2 linked regions of the Tribolium castaneum genome follow. The protein of the gene in region 1 interacts with the protein of each later gene in a pairwise test. Links are inferred from orthologs where the notes say so. Each region holds a gene or a part of one and is shown on either strand. Other genes may lie near its edges.

What was found.
Region 2: the proteins of nmo (region 1) and muc interact in a two-hybrid assay, tested with the Caenorhabditis elegans proteins (2 studies listed by BioGRID, with this or other methods). The link is inferred for Tribolium castaneum from reciprocal best matches to the Caenorhabditis elegans genes lit-1 and dlat-1.

Annotation. Positions count from the first base shown.
Region 1 is NC_087395.1:23,214,049-23,217,868, reverse strand, and holds part of nmo (serine/threonine-protein kinase NLK), read right to left. Parts: intron 2,540-3,820; coding exon 2,410-2,539; intron 2,286-2,409; coding exon 2,230-2,285; intron 1-2,229. UniProt on the Caenorhabditis elegans protein: Has a role in the Wnt signaling pathway controlling the asymmetry of cell divisions during embryogenesis. Operates in the AB and EMS cell lineages influencing cell specification.
Region 2 is NC_087399.1:3,915,495-3,919,845, forward strand, and holds muc (dihydrolipoyllysine-residue acetyltransferase component of pyruvate dehydrogenase complex, mitochondrial), read left to right. Parts: upstream 1-1,526; 5' UTR 1,527-1,744; intron 1,745-1,817; 5' UTR 1,818-1,820; coding exon 1,821-1,939; intron 1,940-2,067; coding exon 2,068-2,425; intron 2,426-2,475; coding exon 2,476-3,038; intron 3,039-3,085; coding exon 3,086-3,385; intron 3,386-3,434; coding exon 3,435-3,564; 3' UTR 3,565-3,860; downstream 3,861-4,351. UniProt on the Caenorhabditis elegans protein: The pyruvate dehydrogenase complex catalyzes the overall conversion of pyruvate to acetyl-CoA and CO(2).

The sequences.
Region 1 (3,820 bases):
CAGAATTGAAAAAAATGTATTGTTAAGTCTGGAAATTGTTGAAGAGTTTGAAGATTATCTAAAAAACATTCTTGATATGTTCGCCAGATTACTCCATTCAATCTGTTGAGTTACTTAAATACTCTTGAAACAGCTCGTAAACTTTTCGAAAATATTTAGAAGTCTTTCATGTCACTCTTTATTTGATATAGTTGTTGCTGAAAAAAATACTGAATATAAGGTTGATTCGCACAAAATCAGCGTTTGCTGTTAAATACTTTATTTTTCTCTTTATGTGTATAAATAAGGAAGCGTAGTATTTTTTTTTAAATTTGCGTGCCGAAAAATTACAGATTGAACCAAAAATAACGCACAAATTTCATACACAGCTTTGTTACTAAGTCATTTTCCAAAAAAAAAAGCTCGAACAGGTCGATTTTATTTTTTTAAATGTTACATTTAAATAATGTTCACATCGTTCGTTTTTGAGTTGTAACGTCATTCTTAATTTTTTTAATGAAAACCGACGATTTGTTTCCTGTTTTAGAAAGTAGAAACTTTTAGAAGGATAATAACAAAAAAAAAATTAAAAGCAAATAAAATATTGAAAATTAAACATAAAGGGCTTTATCTTGTTGTGCGTGACATATTTTATAAACGGCAATTGTTTTTTATATATTTTTTTGTATTATTAGCATGAACACACTTAGTATAACACCTAAACACAAAAAATAAACGAAAATAAAATAAAGCAAGAACAAGAAGAAGTTCAGTTTCTGTGTGATTTTGGCTGATTTTTTTTTAATTTTTATTTATTAATAATTTCTTTTTTATTTTTTTTAATTATTATCTTTATCTGTAAGTAAAAAATTGCCAAAAATTACCTTTTCGAAAGTATACTTAGGCTTGTAATATTTTTTTTATTTACTTAGAAATCGCGATTTTCTTGGGTGCGCGATAAGGTTGCCTCACCTGGTATTATAGGCAAGTTTGTCTATAATTATAAAGTCACTCTGTACTCATTTTTTTATTTACAACTAATAAGTTACTACAGACGGCAGTAATAATCGTAGTAAAGAACTTATCAAAAAAAAACAAAACGAAATAAATGATTAGTTTAAAAAATCTGATGTAATGGGTGATTTAGCTGAGATTGCACCGTAGTTTGTTCTGTTCAAATATTGAAAACTGAAGGACTTTGTAACAGTTAATTACATTTGACAGTGACACTAAAAAGCAGCCTTTCGTCGTCTTTAACTGAATCACCTTGTACATATTTGAAGCCATTTTTTACATTATTATTATATCGTGAAATTACTTGAACCAGCCTTTGTGCGTTTAGAATTTCATAGAAATTGATAATTGGAATTTTTATCTCAGTACACAAGCAAGCCCAGGAGATAATGCCGCCGCCCTCGTGCAAACCCGCTTCTAGGGTAGACTCCGAGCCGGTTTTAACAATACTTTAGGGCGGAGTGGCACAAAAAGGGCTCTACAATAGCTATCCTACCCTCAAAGACTTCCTCATCCCACGAAAATCAAACAGTGAAATAATTCGCAATAACTGCCAAGCCCAAAAAAATTCAGTTAGTTATCCGACACGAGAGAAAAACAACAAGTCGAACTCGATGTTCCACACGTGTTCAGTGACGTCACACCCTTCTACGGTCGTACCCCACCCTCGGTTACGCCACCCCACACAGCTGGCAGATAACGAAACAAAATAGGTCATTTGAACTTCGTTTGCTTGTTTCAAACACACATTTAAATTTATTCGCGGAACGGAAGCGGTAAAGTTGAAAATAAATTCGAAACGTTAATTATAAATTGTGGCATTATCGCTGCCTGCGACAGATTGACGTTAACTAATAACGCACAAGCGCTCTTTTTTCCTAATCCTTGAGGATTTCAAAGTTTACGTCTATTTCGGTCCCGAACGGATGTGGCTAATGGACGGTGGGACCCAAGTCTGCACATGTTTCTCAAACAGGTGTCTGAATGCAAAAATTGTGTCCTTGGGTGGATTTGTCGCCGCCACTGTCCCTCACATGTAATAATGCATTTAATCTAAATTATGTATCTTGAGTGTGCTAGTGAATGAACCACTGAATTCACTCATTTAATAGCCAATTAAACGCTAACGGAAGTTGTAAATTAAAAACGCAGCATTCAGATGATTTCGACCCCAAAGGTTAACAGTTCCGACGAGGGTTAACTGGTAATATCGCCGTGCGTTAACAAAAAGGATACATTTCCTGGAAGAAGTCTAAGTGAGGCGGTTGGAGGATATCTAAGGCGGAAAGAACCTGAAAAAGATTGAATTTTCGTTAAACATTAAGCGAGTTGAGTGAACTTTTAATTAGGAGAGCACCCTCCAGATAACCGACTTGACACGTGTTGATCTGGACGAACTATGGAGCGATCACTTACGTTTTCGTGTTTGAAAAAGCAGAGCATTTTCAGTTCTCTAAACACTCTTTTCGATGAAACTAACGATGCGAACACATTCGGTAACTTCTTCAGGGCGACCCTCCTGCCGTCGCGGGGATCCGTCACCGCCCTGCAACAAATACGAACCCAGTTAAAAATTTAAAATAGACTCAATAAAAGGAGCATTAACAGCCTCGGTACACACTTGTGCGTTAATTTGGTTTATTTACGCCGGGGCCACCCAGCGAGCTCCTTATAATTAGCAAATTAGTAAAAAAGCTTAATGCGACTTTGCTTTTACATTAAACTCGCGTCCGATAACGAAGGGACATTTTAATTACGGCACTGCAGGCAGTGCCACTTTTCCGGACCTCTGCTTCGCGGCAGGTTCTGGAACAGTGGCCAAATTAAAAGTAGCTTTCAAGCACGTGCTTGCATCTAATGTTGGTCACACTGACCGGAAACCAAATCCTGACAATTGAAATTAGGAGAACAAAGAAATTTCTAGCGGCCTTGAACCTCCCTGTCCAATGCCGACTTGGATATTTACCAAGTTCAACATCCTCACCTCGGAAATGCTAAAAATACTACAATAAAATGAATGTATGCGAGCGCTTTTTGCGTCCAAATAATTGTGCATGCAGTGTTTTTGAACTGATAAAATAGAATAAAACGAACAATAAATTCTCGAGCGACGTAAATCTTCCTAAATGATGAGCAACGGTCAAGTGCTACGCTTGTATTTCAGGATTTTATTACGGAGTTCATAAAGAAGTCGTTGAAATACCTGACCAGTTGTAAATTCAATGTTCGTTGCTGGTTGGTGAACAAAAGAGCTACAGGTAGAAACGGACCTGGTGCTGGCTATGTGGAACACCTGTCCATCCGCCCGCTTTCACCCAAATTTCATAGAGCACTCCACTCAACACTGTCATAAAAGTGGAAAAATGTACCTGAATAGCCCCCATCACAAGACTTCGATTTTGTCAAATTCGAATTTTTTTTATTATAAAACTATAATAAAACCAAACAAGTCCTAACTTTTTACGTGTAAATTTGAATCTTTAGACTGAACAAAGTAACCTTCAAAATTTATATTTTTGTTATGGGTCACTTGTCAAAAAATCCACATTTTTGTTTACTGTTTTTGATAGTGTATACTCTTCTTTTTTTCTGCTAAGTACAAGAAATTCAAAATTTTAAGGAAAAAATCAAGAAAAGAAGAAAATAAAATAAAGTAATAGTAGTTATTTATCCAACGAGTTGGACTGTAAATCGGACGCTTTATTTCACGAATGGATTTTTAAACCACGAGGTGGAATAAAAGAATAGAATAGAACAGAATATATTTTATTTGTGTTAATAACACCAACAAAGTATTTTACAGACCTCCAATTTAATTAATTTGGAT
Region 2 (4,351 bases), on another chromosome or scaffold:
TATTCCAGTTGTCTTCCATTTTTCCGTTTCTCGATAACTCTAATAGTTTCGCCATAATTGGCGGTTGAAAATTGAAAAAAAGTGAAAATGGAAACCTTTTTTTGCGTTTTTCTCAGAAACTGTAAGACTTAAAGCAACAAACAAAAAACCATCTGATAGCGCTTAATTTTGTCTTTTTTTTCGACCAAACCCGGAGCCGCTCCGGGCAACGGTTTCGGCTACAGAAACGATCAAAGTTTTTCACTAAAAAAATTCATTAAAAAAAAACTAAAAGTCGTAGAGCATTGCGGTTTGTTCCATTGAATTCTACGGCTCATTTTACATATTATATCAATTTTTCACAAGAATAAAAAATTTAAAATTTTTTGCCTAAATTTAGGGTATCCATTTGTCATAGTGAAAAATTTTTTTCATTAAAAAAATTCATAAAAAAAAAACTAAAAGTCGTAGAGCAGTGCGGTTTGTTCCATTGAATTCTACGGCTCATTTTACATATTATATCAATTTTTTACAAGAATTAAAAATTTAAAATTTTTTGCCTAAATTTAGGCTAGCCATTTGTCATAGTGAAAAATTTTTTTCAATAAAAAAATTCATAACTCGAAAACTAAAAGTCGTAGAGCAGTGCGGTTTGTCCCATTGGATTCAGCGGCTTTTTTTCTTTATTAAACTAATTTTTCACGCAATTTAAAATTTTCAATTTTTTTGCTCAAATTTCCTGAGTAATACAAGACTCACCTTCAAAGAGGTGAAAAAAATTTTTTTTTTTTAACTAACTCCAGAAAATTTTTATGGACTTCTACATGTCTTAACAACCCACAAAAGCTGTTAAAAGTCCACAAAAAGTCCATATGTTCAATTTTTTGATGTTTGAGTTTTTCAATTTTCGTCGCAGTTTTTGTCGGTTTTGGGTACCCGGAACATTTCTCGAGCAATAGCTCCGGAACTATTAGAGATAACCCCATGAAGTGTATTATCGTTGGAAAGCTCTTTAAATTATCTATTTTTTTCAAAAAAGATTATTGTTCTTCGACTAATAGTTTTCGAGGAAATTGCTGATAAATGCAAAAATTGGTAAAATTTAAAAAAATTCATAACTAAAAAACTATTGGGAATTTGGTAATTTTTTTGATGCCAATCGATTCCCCGGATCATTTTGCATGGGTATGGATTAAAACAGTTCCACTTTTTGGAATGCAGAAATTAAATGCTGTTAAGTTTTAATTTGTAATAGAAACACATTAGAATGGTCAGGAGATGTTTTACAAATGTGATATGCAGGTCAGCGTAACAGCTTATTGATGTTTTTCTAATGATTTATTTTGATAATTTTCCTGGTGTGAACTTGGCTGTAGAAAGCTAGCTCCATGCGCGGAGCGATTGTCTGGTCGACTGTAATTTTCATTGTGTCAGCACCATTTCTGTTGCTATCTTCACCAACATTGACGCTGTCAATTGGATATAAAGTCAACTGTGGTATTGTTGGTTGCCTGGCTTGTAATAATTCTTTGACTGGAATTCATTCAAATCTTGGGAATTTTATCAGCCGTGACGATTGTGTGATAAATGACGATCCGTTATATCATTACTTGTGTCATAACGTGATTTTTTGTTTGATTTACCGGTTGATAAGACTTGACGTTGTCGATTCACGGCGGCGCCGTCAAAAACGTGATCAGCACGTCACAGTCACAGATTTTCGACGTGAAAGTCTTTTAAATGACCTAGACGAGACAAAACCAGAGTAAGTCGCCCTCTACTCTCAGGAGAACACGAAAATCAATTGATATTATCACGTTTTTAATTTATTATAACAGAAGATGTTGCGCACGTTTGTTGTACGAAGTGAGTTAGCGAAAGGCGCTCTCAGAAAAGTTGTCCGGTCGAATATTGTCAGAACTCTGACTGTAGAATGCACAAAAAGGCGGAATAACCACAGGTAAGGAGATACCTTGATTGCGACAAAATTTTTACATAATCAGATTAATCTATTTTTATTAAACGAGTTTACATAATCATAACCTCACTTCGTCGGCCCCATCACATGTAACGTTGTGCAAATCGCAGATCGCTTCTCCTGAGAGAAAACAGGGCGCTGCAATGGCACGGCCCTTCGGTGAACCCCCTCCGGCGTTACGCAACCGAATACCCCCCTCACACCAAAGTCCTCCTCCCGGCCCTGTCCCCGACCATGGAGCTGGGGACCATCGTCAGCTGGGACAAGAAGGAGGGCGACCGCTTGAACGAAGGCGACCTCTTGGCCGAAATCGAGACTGACAAAGCCACCATGGGCTTCGAGACCCCCGAGGAGGGCTACCTTGCGAAAATCCTCGTCCCGGCGGGCACCAAAGACGTCCCCATCGGCAAACTAGTCTGTATTATTGTGGAAAATGAGGCCGACGTGGCCGCGTTCAAAGACTTCAAGGTCAGTCGATTTTCCAAATATTTGACCACTTTGTTTACCAATGATAACAGGACGATGGCGCCGCCGCCGCGCCCCCCAAGCCAGCGGCGACCCCGGCGCCGGAGGCCCCCGCCGCCGCGCCGACGCCGCCCCCGGTGCCCGCCTCCCCCGTGCCACCGCCCGCGGCAAGCGACCGTGTCTACGTCAGTCCAATGGCCAAGCGATTAGCCGAGCAACGCAACATCCGGTTGCAGGGCAAGGGGACGGGGCTGTTTGGGTCCGTCACCTCGGCCGACCTCGAGGGGATGGCGGCCGGGGCGCCGGCGGCGGCGCCGCCGCCCCCAGGTTCAGATAATGTTCCCAGTGGGGCCCCCTATGTTGATATCCCCGTGTCGGGGATGCGCAGCACCATCGCCAAGCGGTTGGTGCAGTCCAAGCAAAACGTTCCGCACTATTATCTCACCATTGAGTGCAATGTTGATAAGTTGTTGAAGTTGAGGAGTCGGTTTAATAAGAAGTTTGAAAAGGAGGGGGTGAAGTTGAGTGTGAATGATTTTATTATTAAGGCGGTGGCGCTGGCTTGTAAGAAGGTGCCGGAGGCGAACTCGGCCTGGATGGACTCTGTTATAAGACAGTGAGTTTTTCGTTTTGTTGGTGGAAAAATTGGGTAAGTGTTTGTAGATACTCTTCAGTGGACGTGAGTGTGGCTGTGTCCACTGACCGTGGCCTGATCACCCCCATAGTCTTTGGAGCAGACGGGAAGGGTGTCCTTGATATCAATAAAATAGTTAAGTCGTTGGCGGCGAAAGCGCGCGACGGGAAGCTCCAGCCGCAGGAGTACCAAGGGGGCACTATAAGTGTCTCAAATTTGGGAATGTTTGGAGTTGATCAATTCTGTGCCATTATAAACCCGCCACAAAGCTGTATTTTAGCAGTTGGTACCACTGCCAAGCGATTAGTGCCCGACGAGTCGGAGAAAGGGTGAGAAGCTGGGGATTGAGACGTTTCAAGTGTTTATATTTGTTTTCAGATTTAAGGAATCCCAGTTCATATCGGTGACGTTGAGCAGCGATCACAGAGTCGTTGACGGGGCTGTCGGGGCGCAGTGGTTGAAGTGGTTGCGCCAGTTCTTAGAAGACCCAGAGTCGATGATTCTTTAAATTATTGAAATATTTGTTAAATTTGTCATTTTCATCATACATTTTCGTGCCGTTTTTCCGAGGTGGACGAGGTGTTGCCTGCTGGTGTAGAGAAGAAATCTTCCATCTGTATATTTTTGCATTTACGATAAGTTTTATAGCGGATCTTGCACCACAGGTCTAGTTCGAGGGGCTGGTAATCATCCACATTGTGTTATCACGAACACTTTCATTGCTGATGTTTATATAAAAAGTTGTAATTTTTGTTGAGCAAGTGTATTTATGTATTTAAGTATAAATAAACTAATTGTACATAGGATTGTTTTATTAATATTCCTGAAATAAATCCCAACAAAAAATACACAAACAATAAGCCATGCTGGTTGGTGTCGAACTCCAAGAAAAGACTTTTTTAATTAAAAAAGCCGCTAAAAATTGCTAATTTTGAAAAAGGACTTCGGACCAGGATCACATGAACGCAAAGAGGTAAAAAATGTAAAGACCTCCTTGCGTTCCTATGATCCTAATACACATTCGATTTTAAATTTTTGCAAAATTTTTAAACGTACTTCGGACCAGGATCACAGAAATGGGAAGAGGTCAAAAATATAAAGACCTCCTCGCGTTCCTGTGATCCTAATACACATTTTTATTTTAAATTTTTGCAAAATTTTTAAACGGACTTCGGACCAGGATCACAGGAACGCAAAGAGGTAAAAAATGTAAAGACCTCCTTGCGTTCATATGATCCTAATTCATATTTTTATTTTAAATTTTTGCAAAATTTTAAAATGGACTTCGGACCAGG